Drosophila melanogaster: one gene and its partner. The protein of the gene in region 2 interacts with the protein of the main gene of each other region in a pairwise test. Each region holds a gene or a part of one and is shown on either strand. Other genes may lie near its edges.

Region 1 (13,428 bases), on a different chromosome or scaffold from region 2:
GTGTTGCCACGTGAACTCAGCCACTCAAGTTCAAGTTCACGCAGTTTCTATACTTGAAACATCTAAGAAAAACTCAGCCCCCAGATTGGTTATATAGCTAATTTTAACACGATTTTGATTCATATTTAGATTGATGAATGTTGTTGGCTTAATTGGTGGGGTTTTTCAGTTGTAAACGGTTGATCTTAACAATACACACAGATTGCCCATATCATTTTATAGCTGTTTATATTTAAGAGATACATTTTATATTTTTCAAGAATTTTTGAGCCATGTGCACTTTTGAACGTGAATGCATTTGTACAAATATGTCGAAAGTATCAACAAATTCAAAGAGATTTACAGAAATAGCCACTAATTGAAAAATAAATCAAATTTTACAATTTTATATTTTTTTCCCCTTACATTTTAACTTTGGCTCTATATAACACGACTGCAATCTATCTTAATCAATCAAAATGCCAGGAAGTAAAACCACCGCACATATATCTTTAAATATATTCTTTTGTATTACAACCAATGCATTCAAAAGATTCCCTGTGGTTTGTTATTTAAGATAATTTCTAAAATATAATGGTTAGTAAGGAATAAGTTAGAACAATGAATTTTGTGAGCACTTGAAGTTGGTACTAGAAAATACATAAATTCAGAACGCTTTAAAAAATATGCCAGCCACCTGGAAACCGAAAAAAAAGCTTTTCCCAAACGACCTTGAAATTCTCGCATATTTTTCCTGGCTTTCGTTTATTTTTTTTATTTTTAAAAATATGCTGCCAAACTATTGATACCTTGCAGATTCAATTGAAATTCTTTTTGGTCCCGGCTGTTTCATTCATTTATTTTCATTTCTTTTCTTTGGCTCTCGATTTTTGTTGGGCCAATAGTTTATGTCCGATTTTATGACCACCACAATTACCATAACTCAAAGATGAATTGCTCATTGAGGAAAATGTTTGCTCTCTGCCAATTGGCTCAAAACATCCCAATGAGGCCCGAAACGCGTTCCCCATGACTCAGTACTCGATCGTCTTTAGAAAATTGAAATTTTCCTCTATTTCTTAGCATTTTGCATAAAGTGTTAATTGTATTCGAGTGTGTGTGTGAAAGCATAGTTTGGTTTTTTTCTTTTATTTAATGCCGCCACACACATTTGGCGGGTCCCATAGATAACAACAGAGTGGAACGTTTTTACCCACAAACGAACTATTTATAAAAATAATTTGGGGCAGGCCAAGCAAAATCCGCAGACGACGCCTTGTCGATAATGTGTTGGCCACTCTCTCTTTTTGTCTTGGCCATTTTACACCGTTCTCTTGCCTTTTTTTTTTGCTATCCCCTTTTTTTGGGGCCGCCCTGCAGCTGCCAATATTGAAAAATTATAAACAAAATGACTGGGCCGCACTTGCCAAAAATATGCAAACGGACAGCCAGGCGTCATAATTATGCTATGGCTTTTGACTTTTGGTTCTGCTTTTAATTTTTGTTCTAATTGGTGTAATTCAGATATTATGTGAGGTTTTAAAATGAATTTAAGTAGATGCTAAGTGGATTAATAAAATAAGGAATGATACTATACGATCAATATAAGATTAAATACCAAAAATTATTAGTAGAAGAAGTGAACCAAAAATTTTGAATAGTAAAAAAAATACATAGAATGGAGCAACTATCGATATAAAATAAACAATAATATCTGTTTAATATCTGAACAACATTTTCCGCACACCCTTCAATTACAAATCTATTTTAAGCGCGCGCTAATTAGCGTTTAAACGATCTCGATGCGGTTATGAAATGTGCCTTATGGGAAAATCTATAATTGAAATGTACATTGGACCGTTTAAACGCGAGGCGTACTTGGCAATTAAACGCCAGATATTGAATGCAAATTGGTCAATGAATTGGAAATGTGCTTAAATTCGCGTTTGTGTTTTACAGTCGCTTGGAAAATGTGCGTGTAAAATGTCAGATGCAATCTGAACGATCAATAAATAGAGCCATAAGTGAAGAAAGTGTCCAAAAGTCAGCAAACATTGAGTAAACCTAAGAAGTGATAATACAGAAAAAAAAAGAAAACCATGTCCTGTTGCGGCCAAATCACCAGTATACGAGTGCCCATCGAGCTAAGCAATCAGAGCGATGTGCTCAAGGTAAACCCCTTTATGAGGACCTAAACAAATAGAATGAAATGACAAAACTGCCTGACCAGGATTAACTAAGCAATCACTAATATATACTTTATTTTGCTTCTTTTATTTTTGTTTACCGTCTCTTACATTTCGTGGGCTAGATCATATACGATCATCGTCAAGATATCCACCATAGGGTATGCCCCATGAAACTAAGCCCCTCGTAGTATGCACTAGCTAACTAACAATTTCCCCTAGACTTGCGTCAATAATGAAAATGAAATCCATAAACAAAATCAATTTGCAAAGCACTTTAATCTGTGGAAAACAATTAGTTTTGAAAATACATTCGCATTTTGCTCATTAAAAGCGGGCAGCAAAAATAAACAAACTAACTCTTTGGATCCGCGGACCAGTACCCCCCACAAAAATATTCCCCCATCGCAGAGTATTTTGATATTCGTTCTCGTACATCAACACTTTTGGCCATTGCGGTTGTTGTTTCTTTCGCAGCTGTTTACCATAAAGGAAGTGGCTCGATGTGCTTTACTTTCGAGCGGACTAATGAAATCCCGCCGAGTGATGGGTTTATGTCTCTGGCCACAAAATAAATGATAAATCATAGCCTTTTGGCTGCGTACATAAACTAGAATGGTTATTGATTTTATTCTAACAATTGGCTAAAGTAACCGAAAATAAACACACTCAATGGATGGACGGACTATAATAGCTCTAGATTTAGGGGAAACAGATTTCCGATCGTATGAGATCAATTAAAACTTGAACTTACGACAATATCCCATTGTACCTAAATCTTTTATATGGCTTCCCATTTCCGTTAATGGCAATTAAATGACGAAGAAATATTTATTTATTTTTTTTTTTTAGCTCAAGACAAGCAACTCACTAACGTTGAACATATGTACATATGTATTTGCATCTGTCTAACCCAACAAAAATACTATCTGTACCCCACCGAACTCTTGATTGTATATATTCTTTTCTACCTCAATATCTGAACGTATCTCACTCATTGCATGTCCTCCGACTTCTCTGTTTCTTTTGGGGTCACTTCACTTGCATTGCAGGGTCCAGAACAAATACACGTCTCCAAGTTCTACAAGGAGTCGAAGAACGGCAAGTTCGTGTCCTACATCACAGAGAATGTCCGCACCCTGTACCAGACGTTCCGCGAGGGCGCCTACGCCTCCAACAATGGACCATGTCTTGGCTGGCGCGAGACCCTGACCTCCCCCTACCAGGTAAAAGTCCCAAAAGTCATAATTGGAAATTGATATAGTTCTAGTTATATGTAATATGCATTTACATATTTAATTTACTCCAATCCTTGTCAACTTAGTGGATCAACTACGACGAGGCCCTGCTGCGTGCCAAGAACTTTGGAGCCGGAATGCTGGCGCTAGGAGCCAGGCCAAAGCAGTTGATTGGGATCTACTCGCAGAACCGCCCGGAATGGATCCTGTACGAGCAGGGCTGCTACTCCTTCTCCTTGGTGGTGGTGCCGCTGTACGACACCCTGGGCCCCGATGCCTGCGCCTTCATCATACGCCAGACGGATATGCAGGTGGTGATTGTGGAGGACGATGGCAAGGCGGCCATGCTGTTGGAGAAGGCGCCGCGCAGTCTGAAGATCATAGTGGCTATCAAGCCCATCCGGCAGACGACCCTGGAGCGGGCACGCAGCCGAGGCATACAGATATTCTCATTTATCGATGTGGAGAAACTAGGTGCCAAAGGCAACCATCCGGAGGTGCCGCCGACGGCGGAGGATCTTTGCACGGTGTGCTACACGTCCGGGACGACGGGCAATCCGAAGGGCGTGATGCTCACCCACGGCAACGTGGTGGCCGGCGTCTGTTCTGTGATCCTGCAGATGGGCGACCATCGCATCCGGGCGGGCGATGTGATGGTGTCATTCCTGCCCCTGGCCCACATGTTCGAGCGTTGCTGCGAGAATGGAATGTACTATGTGGGCGGCTGTGTGGGCTTCTATTCCGGCGACATCAAGGAATTAACCAATGACCTCAAGATGCTGAAACCAACCGTAATGCCGGCAGTGCCTCGTCTTTTGAACCGCGTCTACGACAAGATTCAGAATGATATCTCAGCGTCTGGACTGAAGAGGGGTCTCTTCAATATGGCTATGCGAGCGAAGGAGAAGGAGATCGCCAGGGGTGTCCTGCGGAGGAACGGCTGCTGGGACAAGTTGGTCTTCAAGAAGGTGCATCAGGCCTTTGGCGGAAATCTTCGTTTAATGGTCGTGGGCTCCGCCCCATTGGCCGGAAATGTCCTGACCTTCATGCGCTGTGCTCTGGGCTGCCTGGTTCTCGAGGGATATGGCCAAACGGAGTGCACGGGGGCCATTACCCTTACCGTTCAGGGAGATCATGTGCCCAACCATGTGGGACCACCCGTGTCCTGCAATGCTGTGAAACTGGTGGATGTGCCGGAGATGGAGTACTTTGCCAATCAAAATACTGGCGAGGTGTGTGTGCGCGGATCGAATGTGTTCCATGGGTAGGTAAAGCTAATATGAATATTCCACTTTTGTTTAATCCATTGAATTGTTGTGTGAATAGTTACTATAAGGATCCCGAAAAGACGGCGGAGGCCATCGATTCGGAGGGCTGGCATCATACGGGCGATGTGGGCATGTGGCTGCCAAATGGAACACTACGGATCATCGATCGCCGCAAGCACATCTTCAAGCTTAGCCAGGGCGAGTACATAGTGCCCGAGAAGATCGAGAATATCTACACGCTCAGTCAATACGTAAATCAAGTTTATGTCTATGGAGAGAGCTTAAAGGTAAGACCGAAATTGTATTATATATGTACATATTTACCAAATTCTTTCAGAGCTGCATTATCGCTGTTGTTGTACCTGATACCGATGTACTGAAGCAATGGGCCACGGAGAACAATGTACGCGGCACACTCTCCGTCCTGTGCAATAATAAGAATGTCAAGGAACTGATCATGAACGACATGCTCAACTGGGGCAAGCAGAGTGGACTCAAGTCATTCGAACAGGTGAGCTTTTGAATCAGCATACCTATAGGTTTCGAGATAATATCCGGGATATTTAATTTTAGGTTAAAGATATCTATCTGCATCCGGATCCCTTCTCGGTGCAAAACGGACTGCTGACGCCCACATTCAAAGCCAAGAGACCGCAGCTTAAGAGCTATTTTAAGCCCCAGCTGGAGGATATGTATAAACACCTGGATTAAAGCAATGCCTATATGCATACATAGACATCAACAACGAATCGAACTCAAGAAACTGGGAAGCATTCATTCAAATATGCCTATACCATTTTAAACTGATGATAACAAAGACTACAGATACAGATACGAAAGCGAACTGTCTAATTTTGTAGTATCGTCAATTCTTAGCACGTAAGAGGAGCGCAAGATACACCAGATACAGATACAATACACATAAAATATACACAACTTCAAACTGACAAGGAGAATCCTTTTGGCAGCCGCATTTTTTTATATAATTTAACCGAGAAGCGAACCTTAATTAATATATTAACTATATATTTCCCTTTAAACACTTATGAGCTAGTTCAAAAGTGGATAGAAAACAATTGCGTAGTCTGAACCAAAACATATATAATAACATATTGAGCAAATTGAATAAAAAGAAAGCTTTAATTAACTATTGTATACTACACTCAGCGCTAGATGGAAACTAAAGTGAAGAATCAAATTTTTAACTATATATTAGATACGCTAAAACTAAATTAATGGGAATGAAATGTTCATCGCAAATGCTGAGGAATTACTTTTAACTTACAAATGAACGCCAATCGAGAAGCAGATCAAACCTAATAATAAATATGGAAAAGATCAACGTCTTTGGACTGCACTGTCTGCCTTACTAAATACCAAATGAAAATTTATTAATAAATTGCTAAAATAATGAACTATTTCATATTAAGAGCTAAACAATAAAGTAAAGCAGCATTGTATTAAATTTATTAAATAGATTCTTTATGTAGATACGAAAGCAAGTTAACTCAAAATAATATGAAATAAAACCAACAAAAATACAAATTGAAATACTGAGATTTTTGAAAACTTTATTTGAATTTGGCGTTGCCACCTAACGCACATACGCAGTCACCAAAGCTTTTCGAGGGGGTAAAGTGGCCTGACCATCCCAAATAAATGGTTAATAAAATACGCTGAATTAATTACTATTTACTCCAACTTTTAATACATTTGACAATCTTCAACTTAAAGGCGCGTATTTAGTATGATGACATTTAATTTCGGCTTAACTTAATTAGTAGCTCTTGGAATGCAAGACAAGAAAATCGTTCGAAATCGAGTTACAAAACACAATTCAGACTTTAGTGAGCTGTTTTCTTTTTGAGTTGGGTTTACGTTATCAATCGCATTATGTTCTAATTAAAATGTACAAATGTGTTTAGTCGTTATTTCGGAGATGGCTCTTAGCTAAGTAATCAAGTGTTTATCCATCGATATTTAAATTCACTAAACATGTTGATTTAACTACGCGTTCATCACAGCTCGCCGTGCTTGGGCTCATGAGAAGGCGTCACAGTGGTGACCTCCACCGAATCGTCAACCGAATCATCAACTGCCGAGTCCCTGCTATGCGAATTCTCATGATCCTCGATGCGAGACATCAGGGTCTTCAGCTCGGCATCGTAGTCCTTCCATTCGGGCACAATCCTCTGGGCGGCCGTGAGTTTGGCCTCCTTGGTCTGCGGGTTGTTGCACAAATCAATCACTTTAGCAGTCTTGAAGTTGCTGTCGCTGCACCACGTTTGGCACCATAGCCAGTCGTCGGGCAGGGATTTGATGGCGACCTGGTGGATCATGTTGTTGGGCAAGTCCTGATCCAAATTGGATAAGCTGTTCGGATCCTGGCTAAGTGCCTGGTATTGGCCTCTTAGCCTATCTCCTGCCGCAATCTTGCGGAATCTCTTCAAGTCCACCACGTACAAGGCGGAAATGTGGTAACGCCTGCCCATCAGATGGCTTCGCCAGTATCCCTGCTTCCAGAATCGGAAGCCCTCCATCTCTTTGCGGGAATCGCAGAATGGCGTGTAGGCATAGGGTGCTCCTCCGAGGTCCATGTCATACAACTCCTTTATATCCGTTCTTACGATGGCATCGGCATCCACGAAAATGATTTTCCTCACATTCAGCGGGAAGAGCACGTCCAGGAAAAGGATCTTGTAGCCCCAAATGGTCCTCTGTTTTTCCGTTTGCTGATGCAGCCAGCGGGGCCATTTGTACTGGACCAATTCGTACTGGAAGTTGTACTCACTGGCCATGTGAGGAAGGAAATCCGTAAATTGCGGCGAAAGATAGTTCTTCAAGAACCAGAACTTCACAGGTGATTTTGTGTGCTTTAGCAGCGAAACCATCATGATCCTTAGAAGACGTTCGTACAAGTGTCCCGATGCCACAGAGAAAATGTTGATGGTTTCCGTATCCTCATCAGTGGCTGCTTGGTTGGCACTGCCGCCGCCAAAACTGCTGGCGATGCTGTTCCACATGCCTGATTGCGCTGCCTGTTCGTTGTCATCTGACAGGAGTTCCGCCTGCTGCATGCCTGGCTTCTTAGACACCCTTAATTTGACAACATGGGATCGCAAGGAGGTTATAAGAACCTGAACTTCAGAAGAGCCAGCCGAATGATGGGTATTTGTTCCTTCAATGTGGCTGATTGCATAAATATCCGCCGATTTGCCTTCACGCAAGCGTAGGGACCAAGCTCCTGGATTGGCTTTAAGTTGGAAATAACCCAAATTCGCCATCACAATAGTATCTACCAAGGTAGGTTGACTCTGGGTACCCAACACCAACTGAAGTCCTCTGGGCGGAGCGCCGCTAGCAGCATCAAAGCAGTGACCCTCCAACAGCAGATACTCCAGATCGAATTCGCTGTGCACAGGTCCACCAATATCGGTCAACTTAATGTTGTCCAGATCGTAAACTGCTCTCACAGCTTCGACCAACCAGTTCTCGGGAACCTGCAGCTGCTGGGTCAGCAGAGGATTGGCTGGCAATCCACTGAATTTGGCCAAAGGACCATCAGATCGGCCTCCATTCGCCTCGAATTGGACCTCCGGTTCCACAACGTATCTGTAGAAGTTCTTCACGGGCATATCGCTGTGCTGGGGGACGGGAATCAGGTATAAGTTCAATTGGCAGTTCAGCACTTGACGAAGCAAAATAAGTATTGGCGTTAGTTTTTGAGCTGCTCGGGAGGCGGGATCCAAAACGGCGGCAACATCAAAATGGGGAAGATTCTCCTGTTTGGGCGGTAGTTTTACAACCGAGTGATCGGTTTTTAAGTCCGTTGGTAGCTTAAAGCGAGTTTTGGTTTGCCTGGGAAGCAGGCTGGCATACAACTTAAGCAATGTATCGCTGTTGAATTCCTCATTGACATCTTGAGCAGATTCCTTCAGGACCTGACGCACCTTATCGCTATACTGTAGAGAACTGAACCTGGCTAGCAAAGCGAAATCGGCGCTATCAAAGCTTTCATCCGACGAAAGGGGCCCATAAAGCCGCCCATTACCGATGACCAAACGCTGGGATTTATTTAGACCCAACACTCGCTGGGAATAAACTCTCAACATCTTCAGGTGCAGCTCTGTAGATCCCAGGATATCCTCGAGCTGAGTGGGTATCTCAATTTTCTCCTTTGGTTTCTTTAGCCACTTGAGAACCTGCTCCGTGGCTTGAGTTGGTGGAAGACTCTGCATGGCAGCCCAAACCAATCGATTAAGATTCCTCCGGCTTGAGGCGGAAGAGCTTTCAGTGTTTGGAATGAATGCGACTCGCACACTCTCTCCACTTTGGACATAGTCCAGGGCATGGGTGAGCAGATCTCGACCCTGGTCAGTTTCCAAATCAGCAAACACCCAAATCGTTAGGAACTGTAGGGATGCTCGGCCAATAAGCTCCGTAGACTTCTTGCCACCAAAGTATTTAAGATTATCCATTAGCGTAGCGGTCATATCCCGGTTAGACAGACGATTTAAAACTCCAACATTGCCAAGATTTTTGTAGGCCACGCCGTTAATATCAAGATATTTCACATCCTCCTGGCTTAGGATTCGCTGATTCAATCTGGGCATCACGTGAGGTTGATTCATCAGATAATCAATGGCTACATCGTTGTCTGTCAGTTCACCTTTGTACACAGCCTTTTGGAGATTGCTGGTGTGGGTCATAATCTCGGTGAAAATAGCCTCCTCGAAGTCGCTATCGGCGGTCACAACGTTGCTGGGCATTGGAACACCATTCAACAAGGCCTGAGGTTGTCCCTTGTCTCCGAATCCCAGCCGCTGAATGAACTCTGCTGCGAGCTCCCTGCCATAGTCGTACGTGGAATCTTCCTCCAGGAACTCCTCCGCTTTGGCAAAGCTTAATGATGTAAATTCCTTCGTTAGTTGCTTGACTATGTCTTTTTTCGTGACCACTTTGGTCTCACCAACTGCTGCGTAGATGTCGGTGAGGAAACTTAAAGCAGCTCGGGCATCCTTTTTCTGACTCACATAGTTATAGGCGCACGTGATGGCTACGTAATCTGCAAGATTATCCTCGTTGGCGTCCCTCGCATCGAAAACCAAACCCAAGCGAATGGGAGCTTGATGGATGACAAACGACTCTGACAGTTTAATAACACTTCTAGCTGTGGGCTGCAGCGCGTCTACCACTAGGACCAAATTGAACACATTCTTTCGGATATTCCTTAACATGCCAGGAAAGGTTGGACGCAAAAGATCCATCACCGATGAGGGCCACCTGCGGTACTGCACATCGTTTTCAATATCGTTGACCCACTGTACTGCAGTGTCACGGATGTCGATGGCGAATTCTTTTTTGCTGGAGGCCGTCAGATCCAAGGCGAGCAAGGAGCTGGCAAGGCTTCCCCTCACATTATTACTGTGCAGACTCTCGAGAACACGCATCTCCGAGCGCAGCGTCTCAATCAGGGAATACAGATCCATTGTGTCAGCATCGAAGAAGAGTCCATTGATGAAAAGGGCACCATCTGGAGGCGCTACATTCAAGCTTCTTCCAAATGCTTCCGTATTATGCTTTACCTCCGCCCTTAAGCCATCCGTAACCTTGTGGGCCAGCAGGGTTCTGGCCAACATGGGGAAATTATGGGCAGTATATTGAAGAATTTGTAGGGTTTCATCACCCTGTATTTCTGCAATAGCAGCGGCCGCCTGGAGACCCAAATCCTGGAACTCCCATGCTTTCAATTGGGCGATCTCATCGTTTCCCTGAAGAAGCCTCTGACGCAGTTGATCCAGCGCTCTCTTAAGTGTAGGATGCTTCTGCTTCAGCACCTTGAAATCAAAGCCCTGGACGTCCGATTCATTAGCCAAATCCTCATCAGAAGTGGAACCAGCTTCGGGCTTTGGAGCATCATCCTGACTCTTGTATTCCGTTGACTTCAGATGGAGTTCCACTCCATAGCCCGAAAGTCGTACCGGTCGCTTGTCCTTCTTGGCCAATTGATGACGCAAGATGTAACGAATCCGGCCAGCATTGGCTTCCTTTTCCAATAGTTTGTGATAGGTGCGGAATTGAGAGCTTCCCAAATCGCCGTATAGTACCACAGTGCGGGTATTGTTCTCACTGCCAGGGAAAATGTGATCAAAGCTGTAGGTGACAACAGAAGCATCCAAGCTATCCTTGGCGAGCGGCACTTCCAGCTTCTTCTGCAGCTCGTTAAAGCTGCAGGCCAGTTCGGAACCCACCTGGGCAAAAGTAAAGCTCTGACAAGAGCCACTGCTCCTCAGTTCCTCGGCCAACTGGAAGTGGGTCTGGATCCGGGGCGTCAAGCTATGCATGGATACCACCAGCCTAAGCAGGGGCAATTGGGGAGAACTCACATGGCTCTTGACCAGCTCCAAGGCGGCATTGTACTGTTGCGACTCGGTATCTGAAAAGCGAAAACGTAATCAGAAAAATAAATTACCCTTTGGGAAAAGATCACATTATAGGGCTTTGGGAATAGGTGATTTTATATTCCGAACCATTACTTGATTTTATATGGATTCGATTCACATTGAGGAGAATATAAAAGCTCTTTAATGCGGGTTCTCCATGACTTATAAACACAAACCATATTCGTTGAGAACCGTGTCCAACTTGGTCACCCCCGAAACGTAATCCCAGAAGAGGCCCGCCTGCTCATCGGCCAGATACTCGGCGATTTCCAGATATAGGGGCGTCTGCGTCCATTTCGCGTTGATTAGCGTGGTGATGGGATAGCTCTGACTGGATTCCCCAGAAGTTGGCGTATATAGTGCTATGAGCACCACAGACACACACAAAGCCACGGCACGTAACATGGTTTCCACTTGTTTTAACGTAGATTAAACCACGCACATTACGTATACTAAGCGTAGAGAGGAACTTAAGGCTTTCCTTCTCCAAATATTTTACTTTTCACCAGTTTTCGGCTGGTTTTAGCCCAGTTTTTCTTAATTTGATTTAGAACTGATGTGGCGTTCGTTGATGAACCGGCATGCCGCAGTGTGACCAGACTACATTGGAACTACATCGGGTTGAAGAACTTATTTAAATTTATTTATTTTACGGACAATTGTCAATATGGAAATATTTTGCTTTAAATTATAAAAGAAATTATTGAAATATAAAAATAGTACATACTTACTTCAAAATGCATAAATGGGTAACTAAATTCCTTTGTTGGTATTTTTCATACCTGTTGTGCGACTACTATCACTCTAATTTGTTTGTTTACAAATTTCAGCGCGAATTTCGCGACCAAAAACATAGTGCAAATATTGCCAATGAAATACACTTTAGAGGGCAGCAATGCAAGAGGTACCACATAATAAACAGCAAAATATATTGATAACTAAAAGAATTCATTTTTTAAGTCATCGCCAAAGCCGTACAATCGCTGTCCAAGGTGGGCAAGGAGATGTTCATCGAGATCGACCAGCAATCCTTGCAGATGCGGGCCATAAATGCCACCCAATCCGCAGTGGGCAGCATATCGTTCAAAAGATCCATGTTCGAAGTGTATGACATGCCGCCGCACTCAGATTTCTACTGCAAGATCTCCATGAAGGGATGTTTGGCCGTGTTCCGCAACATGAATGAGGTAAGTTCGAAAGTCTGCTCACTGGGATTAGTTGTTAAGAATATTATGTTCCAGGTGGAGTACTGTGAACTCAACTTGCTGGACAACCAGACCAACCTGCAGGTGAATCTCCGCTGTAAGCTGGAGACCACAAAGGAGGCCACCATTTCCATCATAGACGACCAAAACATTAACACAAACATTAACACCGATCAGATGCCGAATATGTGAGTTTTGGTTTGTGTTAAGGATAACTATTAAGTTTATCTCCTTACCTTATTTCTCTTAAAACAACTATGCCCATATAAATCCGAATTTACTACTCAACATTTCAGAATCCGTGGCGATCACAAGCTGTTGACGGATATATCCAATAACTTTAACTCCTCAGAGGAGGAACTTACTTTGGAGGCAAACTCGGGCAGTGTGGTGGCCAAAAACTACATAGAAGGAGCCCGAGTTAATGATAAGTTCATGCGCACGCAGCTGAAACTTAAGCCCAGTGAATTTGAGCAGTACCAGGTAACGAAGGAGACGGTCATTACATTCTGCATTAAGGAATTCCGAGCATTTCTCCTCTTCGCCGAGTGCTTAAATGCTTCGCTGACCCTGGAGTTCGACGAAGCGGGCATGCCTTTCCTGCTCAAAATTAAGAAGCATGGCGAGATTGAATGCTTGCTGATCATGTCCACGCTATCCCCCGATGATATAAGCTTCTCGGAAGATTATTGTCAAAAGGATCTGACAGTGCAGGATGAGGATGTACGAGCGGCGGCCGCAAAGCGAAAGAGCAGCGTTTCGAAGCCGAATGTGACCAACAAACGCAAAGGCAGCTCTTCGGAACCGGCTGCAGTGCAGCCAAAACGGCGAGTTGAGGAGACCCAATTAGAATCGAGCCTAGATAATCCACTGTTTCAGTTCCGGGACTCGGAGGCGCCATCTGTTCAGCACCCTCGCATCCTAGCCGAGGTGGACACTGTGGTTCTGATTGAAGATGAGGCGGAACAAGAGGCTCTCATGCTGGCAGCCGCGGATGCCGCTTTGGAGGCCAGCATGGCACCTGCTCCAGAGCCGCCGAACAGCACGGAGGTTTGCTTTATCAACACAGACGACTCTCAACAACCTAAACCTGCGAAAAGCTCCTCCGA
Region 2 (11,354 bases):
CTGGTGCCTGGAGTTGGAACCTTTGTGGCCTGCCTTGTCTTGCCGCTGGAGTGGGGCATCCTCATTGGAGTGGGACTCAATGTCATCTTTATCCTCTACCATGCTGCGCGTCCCAAGCTGAGCACCGAGCTACTGACCACACAGTCGGGTGTGGAGTACTCAATGATCACGCCAGATCGATGCCTGATCTTCCCGTCTGTGGATTATGTGAGGAATCTGGTCAACAAGCAGTCCATTAGGCAAAATGTCCCAGTGGTCATAGATGCGTCGCATGTCTACGGGGCTGACTTCACAACGGCCACGGTTATAGACTCGCTGATCAGTGATTTCAATCAGCGAGGACAACTGCTCTTCTTCTACAACCTCAAACCGAGTATCTGCTCCATTTTCGAGCACGTGTCGGCGGCCCAGTTCGTGGTCTACTACCAGGAGCAGCAGTTGGATGAGCTGCTCAAGGAGCGCAACTATGTGCAGAAGCGGCTCGAGACGGCCTAACTGGCTTATTCTCCTCAACACGTGATACAAATAATTTAGCCTAAGTGTTTGCTTTAATTATTTATGGCGTTGTAAATAGATTGTAAACTAATTGTGTAGTATTATCCAGAGCACACAACTATTAGAAATTGTAAGGTGAACAAATAAGTGTATTTCTTAATTACGTAATAATAACAAACAAAAATAATTTATCTTGTTTATTTCATGAAAGAGTAAAAGTCAGTGAGATTGGTTAACTCAAATCAATTAAAACTATTATTCAGTTTTGTTTATCAGATATATTTGATTTTGAATTTAAATACTTGGGCAATATACAACACTTGATAATGGCGCTATACAGCACTCTTAAGCTATCGATAAAAGCTATAGATAGACCGATATATTCAGTGCTGTTAGCCGTCCCTACTCAACACTGAAACATTTCTCACGTGTAAAGTTGAGCAGTTTGTTTTCCTCTTTTTTCCGCTTAATTTAACTTAAAATGAAACGCCTGAGCGACGAACGTGCCAAGATCTTGTTCGAGCACCTGTCCAAATAGTGAGTACCCAAAACAGATCATCGCAATGCAGCTAACAAGTGCTCTTACAGCATTGGCACAAATGTGAAGCATTTGATTGACCGGCCAGATGGAACATATTGCTTTCGGGAGCACAAGGATCGGGTCTACTACGTCTCGGAGCGGATTTTGAAGCTGAGCGAGTGCTTCGGCTACAAGCAGCTGGTGTGCGTGGGCACCTGCTTCGGCAAGTTCTCCAAGACCAACAAACTGAAGTTCCATATCACGGCCCTCTACTACTTGGCGCCCTACGCCCAGTACAAGGTGTGGGTGAAGCCCTCCTTCGAGCAGCAGTTTCTCTACGGCAACCACATACCCAAAACAGGACTGGGTCGCATCACGGAGAACGCCGGCCAGTACCAGGGCGTGGTGGTCTACTCCATGAACGACCTGCCTCTGGGCTTCGGCGTACTGGCGCGTTCCACAACGGACTGCAAGACCGCCGATCCCATGACCACCGTATGCTTTCATCAGTCGGATATCGGCGAATATATTCGCGCCGAGGACACGCTCTTTTAGATCCATAGATGCTAAGTTTTTACATGTTTTGTAGCAATAACCATGTTTAGGTAAATAATAAGTATGCTGAAAAACGGATAAACTGCTTTTGATTTTATATTTTTAATGTTAATACTGATAATAATAATAATTGATAATAAAACTTACACTACATTTCATAAATTATTATTAAAAAAAAAAATTTTAAATAGTGAGCCAATATTTTGTGGTATATTTTATGCAAGGTATTTTTTGAGTTTGAAATAGTATATACCCGCATTTTCAATGCCAATGGTATTTTGTACCGAAACGGTCACACGCAACACTGCAATTTCTGGACGCGATTTCGTGGGAATCTTCGATGGAAATGCGTCTGAATGCGGCTTCCATATGGCTGTTAATACTGTCGTATGGAGCAACTATTGGTAATAATCAGGACGAAAACAAAGTGGAGCTTCCAGTAGCGACCGGCGTCGAAAACCCGCACGCCCACTTTTTAATATAGGCCAAATAACCTGAGTCATCTAACCCGAACTTTCTTTGTCCACAGCTCAAGGAGAAAGAACCCGCGATAAGATGTACGAGCCCATTGGAGGAGCTAGCTGTTTCCGACGGCTGAATGGCACCCATCAGACAGGCTGTTCCTGTGAGTCCATTGAGAATATACCTTGAAATCCTCTATAATTCTTTCTTTTCAGCAACCTACTCCGGTTCCGTGGGCGTACTACATCTAATAAACGTCGAGGCCGACCTGGAATTTCTTCTTAGCAGCCCACCATCTCCACCTTACGCCCCCATGATACCACCTCACCTGTTCACACGTAACAACCTGATGCGCCTAAAGGAAGCCGGACCAAAGAACATTTCTGTGGTGCTGCTGATCAACCGCACGAACCAGATGAAGCAGTTCTCGCACGAACTCAACTGCCCCAATCAGTACAGCGGCCTGAACAGCACCAGTGAGACCTGCGACGCCAGCAATCCAGCCAAAAACTGGAATCCCTGGGGCACTGGACTTCTGCACGAGGACTTTCCCTTTCCTATCTATTACATAGCCGATTTGGATCAGGTCACCAAGCTAGAGAAGTGCTTTCAGGACTTTAACAACCATAACTACGAGACGCACGCGCTGCGTAGCTTGTGCGCCGTCGAGGTCAAGTCCTTTATGTCCGCCGCTGTCAACACCGAGGTCTGTATGCGCCGCACCAACTTCATCAATAATCTTGGAGGAAGCAAGTACTGCGATCCGCTCGAGGGACGGAATGTTTACGCCACCTTGTACCCCCGAAAGCCAGCAATCGAAAACAACTTGGAGACAGTCCATACGAATGAAAAGTTCATATTAGTAACCTGTCGCCTGGACACCACCACCATGTTCGATGGCGTCGGTGAGTTCAAGTAGTGGAATTACTACTACTTCGACTACATGATTTATTTCTACAATTCACAGGTCTTGGAGCCATGGACTCCCTCATGGGATTTGCTGTTTTCACTCATGTGGCGTATCTATTAAAACAACTACTTCCGCCGCAAAGCAAAGACCTTCATAATGTCCTCTTTGTGACTTTTAATGGCGAATCCTATGACTACATTGGTTCTCAAAGATTTGTATACGACATGGAGAAACTTCAATTTCCTACTGAATCCACAGGCACGCCTCCGATTGCCTTTGACAATATTGACTTCATGCTGGACATCGGGACACTGGATGACATATCGAATATTAAGCTGCATGCGTTAAATGGAACGACTTTGGCTCAGCAAATTCTAGAGCGGCTAAATAACTATGCGAAGTCGCCACGCTATGGCTTTAACCTGAACATTCAGTCCGAGATGAGCGCTCACTTACCACCTACGTCGGCGCAATCATTTCTGCGACGTGATCCAAACTTCAATGCATTGATTCTAAACGCTCGTCCAACGAACAAGTATTATCATTCCATATACGATGACGCGGATAACGTGGACTTCACCTATGCGAACACAAGCAAGGATTTCACCCAGCTGACGGAAGTTAATGACTTTAAAAGCTTGAACCCAGATTCACTGCAAATGAAAGTGCGCAACGTTTCCTCTATTGTGGCCATGGCCCTATATCAGACAATAACTGGAAAGGAGTACACTGGCACCAAGGTGGCCAACCCTCTGATGGCAGATGAGTTCCTTTACTGTTTCCTGCAATCGGCGGACTGCCCACTCTTTAAGGCCGCATCTTATCCGGGCAGTCAGCTCACCAATTTGCCTCCGATGCGGTAAGTTAGCTATAAACATGCCTATACTTGGATTTATTTATTGCTAGCCTTTCTTTTCCCAAGCTACATAAGCGTCTTGGGTGGCTCTCAAGAGTCGTCGGGCTATACGTATAGATTGCTGGGCTATCTCCTGTCACAACTGCAGCCAGACATTCACAGAGATAACTGCACCGACTTGCCGCTGCACTATTTCGCCGGATTCAACAATATCGGAGAGTGTCGCCTCACCACGCAGAACTACAGTCACGCCCTGAGTCCAGCTTTTCTTATTGATGGTTAGCCCTGAAATGCCTTTATTGTCTTGTGCAAACATTTTTACAATTAAACTTTCATTAGGCTACGATTGGAGTTCCGGCATGTATTCCACTTGGACTGAATCCACCTGGTCACAGTTCAGTGCACGCATCTTCCTGCGCCCGTCCAATGTGCACCAGGTCACAACTCTAAGCGTTGGCATAGTGGTGCTGATAATATCCTTCTGTTTGGTGTATATAATCAGCTCACGATCGGAAGTCCTCTTTGAGGATTTGCCGGCAAGCAATGCCGCGTAAGTCCCTTCAGATGCATCCACTTGTACATCGTCAGTTTGCTCATCAATTACTGGGAAACTCATGTCATCTTTAGTGCTCAGATTTTGTTTGGTTTCTATGTATTGTAATATTTATTTGAAATTTATTGTTTCTAGATTATTTGGTTGATGTCACAACTGCCACAGCGACGAAATCATCGCGTTCAGCAGCTCATTCCATAGATTTCTGCATGCGTAAACTAAACGTTACTTGTAAACCAATCGATTAAGAATTTCTGATTGTGCCCTTTTAGATCGCCGCGGCCGACAGCCTGTTAAATCTTCAAAGAATATCTGATCACGTGCCGAAGATGATTGGTTGCTGAATATGATCTAAAACAAAAAACAGACTTAACAAAGACACTAAAATGATATTCTAACTCGTCTTATTTAAAACATTAAGCAAACGTTTATTTATATGTATTTTTGTATTTTAAAGTAGTAAATTAGCTTCTATCAACTACGTTGTATCATATATAGACATTTAACCAATTGCGACAAAATTCTTTCCACTTGTCCGGCCCTTTTTGCATTGTACATAGGATTAACCAACCCAATTGAACCTCTGATAATGCCAAGGAAGAGATGTCTGTACAAATATTGACAAGAAACTGCTATAACTTATAAATCACTGGAAATATTTATACCTTCTGCATCTATTGCGATACTGAACTTAATGATCTGAAATCATTACTTCATAGAAGACAAATAATTATTATAACGACTTTAAATTATATATGTTTAATAAATTTTGATAAGGTGTAAAGCAATGTCCTGTTATCTAGTTAGGTTATTTTCAAGGCAATTATTCACAGCTCTCAGATTCCAACGATTGATGTAGTTTAATCTCAACTCTTTACCAAAGAAGTCCATTTGTACTAGTGTAAAAGATATTTTCAATACTCTTAAAATCGTGGAAATACTTTTGGGAATGGTAAGAATTGGCAAAATCCGAAGTTTTGACGATATTATCGTCTTAAATATTTTTAATTTCTTTAGTTTAGCAATCCTTGAAGCCGAAGATTAACAATCGAATCTGTAATTACCCCTGCGGATGCCTTCAAGTAGCCACCACTCAGCAGCATCACCACCGGAATTCCTAATGCCCGAAATGTACTAAATACCAACCGATCCCGCTCAATAACGCCCTCCGCGGAAATAGCCAGGTTGCCCAATGGATCGCCCTCGAGCACATCGGTTCCCGCATTATAGACGACCATATCTGGACGGAACTCGGCCAGGGACTGCATCAGGCAGCGTTTTAGTTGCCGCAGGTAGAATCCATCCTCCGTGTAGTTGCGCAGCTCCACCGCACACCGAATGCTCTCCTTGGCCACATGATCCCGCGGATAGACAAAGGCATTGTACATGTCGAAAATGTAGACGGCTGCCACGTTATTGAAGTCCCGCTCGTGCCCATTGCCCTGATGGGCATCCAGGTCCACAATCATTATGCGGCGCACCCGGAATGGTTCCTGCTCGAACAGCCTGACGATGAGCAGCGAGATGTCAGCATATGGACAGAAACCACCGCCTCTGTACGAGCAACAGTGATGGAACCCACCGCCCAGGTTGATGGCCCAACCATAATCCAATGCCAGCTTACCGGCCAAAATGGAACCGGCTGCTTGAAAGCGCATGGGTCGCAAATAGGAACGCTGAATGTATCGATTCGGGACGAAGGCCATCAGCGGCACTTCAGCGATGCAGGCCACATTCATGCTCCAGCGCAGTGACTTTAGGTATTCCCTTGTGTGAATACGACGCAGCTGGTCCTTGGTCAGCTCCGTGGGTTCGTAGAAGCTGCCGTCGTCGAGCTGCAGTTGGGCGCACAGGAGCTGTGGTCCATTGATTGGTATATAAAAGTTCAGGAGATCGGGAAATGCATACGAACCTTGTGAATGTGCTTGCCCTTGGCCGCATCGAAGGGATGTAGGCGTTCAAGGCCACCGAAGCGAACCGCATAGTTCCTTGAGAACACGATGGGCAGTTTGCCGGCGGAGCGTGCGTCATCCCGCTTAACCCAGACAACCTCCTCGGACTCCTGCTCCTCGTGGTGCACTCGCTCAGTCAGGCGCTTCATTTTGTGGTTCAATTTAGGCGTGGATTACATCTGTCCGACACCAGTTGAATTGGCTACGCAAATAGCAAATGCAATTTCGCATCTTTGGGGTTGGGAACGGGAATGGGAAAGGGTGGATGCGCCATCAGCTGGCGGCCGGCAAAAAGCTTCCATTCAAGCACTTGGACTAAGCTTTTGCATAAAACAACAAATGCACTTAAAATAATTTTAATACACTATGTGACTTGGACAATACATATTACATGATATTCACTTGGCTAAAACACTTATTTTGCTTTACTTCTATAAACTGGTCGGTCATGGCCATCTTGCAGTTCCCTGTAGGTGTTAAGGACGCGCTGGTCACGAGAGTCCCTCAGTTGCCAAAAGTGCTTCCACTGTTGATTTATATCACAAAAAGGAACTACTTCTGTTTAGATTACTTACCAGCTCCTTGGGAACATCGAGAGGAGTCGGGAAAACAAACCAGATGACTGCCTCGGCACAGGGAGGAGTAGTAAGCGAACCTAAAACATATATGTATGAATGGATATCCAAAAGCCAAAAGAAACATCTCACCTTGGTAGGTGAAGTATTTTTGGCTGTCTATGCTAGCAAAAAGGTCCTGCAAAGCCATGCTGTCCTCCAGAGGACACGAATCATCCAACTTAGTTATGCTGGATACCTGTTTACAGATCATGTTCATAGCTGGCGTCTCGATGTTCGGATCCTTCAATGGAAATAAGATGGCTAGAGTATAGGTAAAGCGTAGAGGCACTTCCTACCTCAAGGTTCCTTATGAACAGGGCCAAAACCGCAAAGCCATTCGGCTGCAGACCGGCCTCCTTGTTGCTTTTGTAACTGGCATTCTTGTGAACGATGTGCACCTCCCCATCGTAATAGTTGCCATCCAAGCAGTGCTCCGATCCCTTGCTCAGTGCGGAGCCCCAGTGAAAGTGCAACTGGTCGGCCTCGAAGACCTGTTGGCCTTCAGTACTGATGCAAAGGGATGGCCGACTGCCGTCGACGGTCTTGGGTATCCGCATGAGAACTGTTAGCCCATTGTTGATCACGGATAAAGGATCGCACAGGCTCTTATGGTAATTCAGGAACTTCAGTTTGGGTACATTACATGTAATGGCCTACGGATAAGCTAAGTTTATTATTGCATTAGGATATCATTATCAGATAGAATGGCTTACATTGCATGACCACAGTGCAATGGGCGATTGTCTTTCACCGCACTTTACATTCCAATCCCTTCCCTGTTTATCATAATTGAATCCAAAATGACTTCTTGTCCCCGAGTTAATTGGGGCAAAACTTCTTGCCACAAGAAACATGTAAAAGACTTACAGACTTACAATACTAGACTACGGACTAAATAAAACGAGATTTGTTGACATATATTTTTCAGGTGCTGAGATGCAGAGTAAGGTTGCCAAACGTTCTTCAAGGACATATGTACAACTTCTTCGTTTCCAGCTCCTTGGCCTTCCGATCCATAATGTTCTGCTCCACCATGCGATTGCAGCCTTTGTAGATGTACTTGGTGACAAAAAAGAGTATCTCGAATATGGCCACCATGGAGAAGCCGACGAAAATGGACATGATGTTACCTATGGTACCTGTAAATTGGAAAAATTCGATACAACTGGCCATAGGAAGAGTGTAGATCCAAACCCACTGAATACTTCGAACCAGGTGTTATTCAGCAGTCGGATATAGTATTGGGCATGGGGGTCTCCGAAGTAAACCCTGAGAACGGAGATGTCTGTACCGAACTCCGTCTCGTTGTTCTCGTCCAGCTTCAGCGTGGCCAGGTAGTTATCGATTGGCAGGGCACTCATTGAAACCTCGTACTGGACATCCCGGCAGGAGGGCAGACATTGTGGGCAATAAAGAGCCTCCTCGATTTCCCGCTCCAAGCCATTAACAATGTGCCGTTCCGTCAGTATATTGCGCCACTTAACTGGAAACGAAAATATTGAAATGGAAGAACGTGTGCGCGTAAGCCGCTGATTGGCTTACATATGTACTGATTGAGACAGGAAACGTGTCCCAAGGTGCAGTAGACAACGCCATCGAGATTTTCCACCAGTTGAAGGGGCATTTGGAAGGGGAGACACCGGCACAAGGCAATGATACTCCGGATCCGGCACCTGGTTATGCAATTCGGGAAGGTGTAGCTAAGGCTGTACGTGTTCATTAGCTGCTCATGGATCGGATTCTGTGCCTCGTACTCAAAATAACAGCGGCGCTATAAGATTGATATTATAGGTGGTCTTGAATTTGAAAAATAGAACAGCATACACTGAACGGCGAAAATGATTTTAGGCTATCATCAGTGTCCACCACTCGCGCGCAGACCGCAATGTAGCTATCCTCTCCTTGGCCAGGAAACATCTCGAGCACATTGGAGGAATAAACCGAGGCATAGTTTTCAGCATTGTGAATCATGACAATGTATCCATTGGTGTTCAGAATGGGGGCAAAGTAGTCCACGTGACTGTCGTTCAAGACTACTTTCAGACCCAGTTCCGAGCTGGCTAGACGATTCTTGAAGTGCCGTTTCTTTAGTCTGTTGAAGATTTGGTTAAAAAAGAAATAATAATAAGAGCTACCATTAACTTGTTCTCCATGTTGAAGGTGCAGCAGGGTCCGTACATGGTAAGGCTATCCTGAAAGGCATCCTTGCTGAAGCAGGGCACTTCCACATTGGCTACGGTGCACTTCAGCACGAATCCTTGGCATCGCGGGGTCAACTGTGAAAAATAGAAACAAGATTCAATATATTCTCGATCCGTGCTATTCTTACCATTTTCATTATGCGGCGAGTGTCGAAAAAGGTCTCATTGTTCCAGGTGCCGAAGACGTCGAGGAAGGTCTGGAAGGTAATGAAGTCATCGGTGTCCACCACTACGCCAACGTGTGTATAGAACTCGCGGAAGAACCTTAGGCGCTCTAGAAAGTATTCCACTGGGCGAATTACAGGACTGTTTAACCTCCTAACAATAAATATAACAACAAAAATTTAAGTACACAAATATTTATTTCAATAATTTTAGCCTCACAATTCTTCAGCATATTGGATAACTGCCTGGCGAGAGATGCGATTGTTGGGGCAGATGGAAACAGCCGGGAATGGCACATTCTCCACTGGAAAAAGAGGATCCTTCAGATTGGTCACAAAGGATTGGGCCACGAACTGCTCCCATGTTAGCGAGAGCACCACAATCAGGGAGACGGTGGTGGCCATGTGTACCAGCAACCAAATCAATCTATTAAAATATGACTATGCCGGCTTACGTTGCGTATGAGTAATATTTGGGAAAACTTTTGTACCTTTGTCCCAAGGTCAAGTCCGGTGACAAAAGCTTATTGTAACCCTGTAGGGATATGTTTCTAACCAGATCCGCCATATCCAAGCAGAAGGCTGAGCCCAAGGACTCCTTGCGTTTACCTTTGGAATTATGTTCCCCGGCTGCCTTGGGATTCTTAATCCACCAAATGGCATTGGATGTTGATGCCAGCTTGACCATATTTCTGAGGTCTTTATTTACTCCAATCCTTTCCGAGCTACTGTTTGTTGAACTCTGACTGGTAACTAAGAGTTTGTATAGCTTACAAGTGTTCATTGATGAATAAAAGTATCACGAAATAGGCGTGACTAGCTAATGCGTTTCCTTCATTAATGCGGTTAATTATGATTAGTTTAGGGGGAACTTTAGAAGTTAAAGCAGAAAGGTTGTACTTTATGACATTTTTAATTGCCATAGTATTCCATTGGAATAGTCTTTGACACACTGTTCATGTTACTAATCTTAAGCTTAATCCTATTAAATATTTTCCTGTACAAGATGTAGCAGTTCATTGTCTAGCTAAAGCTGAGTCAAGTCTTTAATGTATGTTTATATGAAGTTAACCATGCTAGTCCAGTCCTATCCCATTGGCCAGAAGGGCTGGCCAGGATAAATGCGGGATCCGGGAAAGGCGTACTGGTTGGGATTGACCACTCGGGCGATATCCGTGTAGCTGCGACCGTCACGCTTCGGTGTTTGATGGTATCCACGGGCCGGGGAGCCAGACACGACGATCAGAAGAAGGAGCAGGGCGACCATAAGGCAATGGATGGCTCCTTGGACGGACATGGCTTGCAAGAATTGATATGTGAGTGCTCCGCTTCCAGTACTGAACTGCACTGATGCCGGTGACCAGCCTATTTATATGGATATCGTCGGCTGATCGGTTCTTGGCGTTCTCAGACGCTTGGCTTATCAATCAGGTTTTCGCAAACGACTGAAGCCCCCAAGAGAATTGCTTTGCCGCTCACGTAGATCTCGTCTCTTTGTGTGAAATGGATTTTTATGATCACTTTGTTTTCTCAATATTTACTGACACGGTGCCCAGCGCCAAGTCATTCACACCGCAGCCCGTTATTTCATCCGATCGGCAGTGAGTTGGCATATACATATGAACATCCAACACCTGATCTTGACTCTAATTGCACTGTGAATGATCTAGCCATATGTAGGCAACTCGACCCAGCCTCTCAGCATAAGTGCTCGCTCGTACGTATTTAAATTGTAATTAGCGACTCTGTCGGGGTATTGGAGTAATGACGTAGGTGCGCCATCTGAGGCGGCGTATTAGCACATTCTTGCATAAACAATTGCCATGTTCGGCGCGATTAGTTGCCACTGACTTGGGCACCGAAGTCTTCCTTCCTGTACTGCGATCTGGTTTCTGGTTTCACTTCCTCAATGCCGGTCGTCGGTGCTCCGGGGGGAAGTCCTAGCTGACCAGCTGCATCTCGGCGTGAATCACTTGCTTACTCGTGCGCAAGTACCTCGATGGGATCGTTAAAAGACTATATATACCACAGTTGTGAGCCATGATAAGTCCAGTCGGATGATGACTTGG

What was found.
Region 1: the proteins of Nct (region 2) and Uggt interact in a two-hybrid assay, tested with the Drosophila melanogaster proteins (one large-scale study listed by BioGRID).

The regions. Positions count from the first base shown.
Region 1 is NT_037436.4:18,871,041-18,884,468, reverse strand, and holds Uggt (UDP-glucose-glycoprotein glucosyltransferase), read right to left. Parts: upstream 11,723-13,428; 5' UTR 11,520-11,722; coding exon 11,291-11,519; intron 11,108-11,290; coding exon 6,690-11,107; 3' UTR 6,224-6,689; downstream 1-6,223. Other genes in the region: CG3961 (uncharacterized protein), read left to right, coding at 3,218-3,391, 3,490-4,667, 4,730-4,958, 5,009-5,182, 5,245-5,382; Rad9, read left to right, coding at 11,985-12,018, 12,075-12,301, 12,356-12,507, 12,616-13,428. UniProt on the Drosophila melanogaster protein: Recognizes glycoproteins with minor folding defects. Reglucosylates single N-glycans near the misfolded part of the protein, thus providing quality control for protein folding in the endoplasmic reticulum.
Region 2 is NT_033777.3:24,849,739-24,861,092, forward strand, and holds Nct (nicastrin), read left to right. Parts: upstream 1-1,862; 5' UTR 1,863-1,910; coding exon 1,911-1,974; intron 1,975-2,099; coding exon 2,100-2,195; intron 2,196-2,247; coding exon 2,248-2,937; intron 2,938-2,999; coding exon 3,000-3,801; intron 3,802-3,864; coding exon 3,865-4,076; intron 4,077-4,137; coding exon 4,138-4,348; coding exon of another isoform or gene 4,349-4,352; exon of another isoform or gene 4,353-4,486; coding exon of another isoform or gene 4,487-4,499; exon of another isoform or gene 4,500-4,623; coding exon 4,624-4,648; 3' UTR 4,649-5,131; downstream 5,132-11,354. Other genes in the region: Esp (epidermal stripes and patches), read left to right, coding at 1-495; CG7006 (uncharacterized protein), read left to right, coding at 977-1,032, 1,084-1,570; HDAC11 (histone deacetylase 11), read right to left, coding at 5,365-6,207, 6,264-6,452; CAH4 (carbonic anhydrase 4), read right to left, coding at 6,719-6,829, 6,879-6,958, 7,011-7,161, 7,217-7,573, 7,634-7,774; ppk22 (pickpocket 22), read right to left, coding at 7,884-8,059, 8,119-8,403, 8,463-8,691, 8,745-9,012, 9,063-9,196, 9,250-9,439, 9,506-9,712, 9,777-9,973; CG13639 (uncharacterized protein), read right to left, coding at 10,373-10,582. UniProt on the Drosophila melanogaster protein: Essential subunit of the gamma-secretase complex, an endoprotease complex that catalyzes the intramembrane cleavage of integral membrane proteins such as Notch.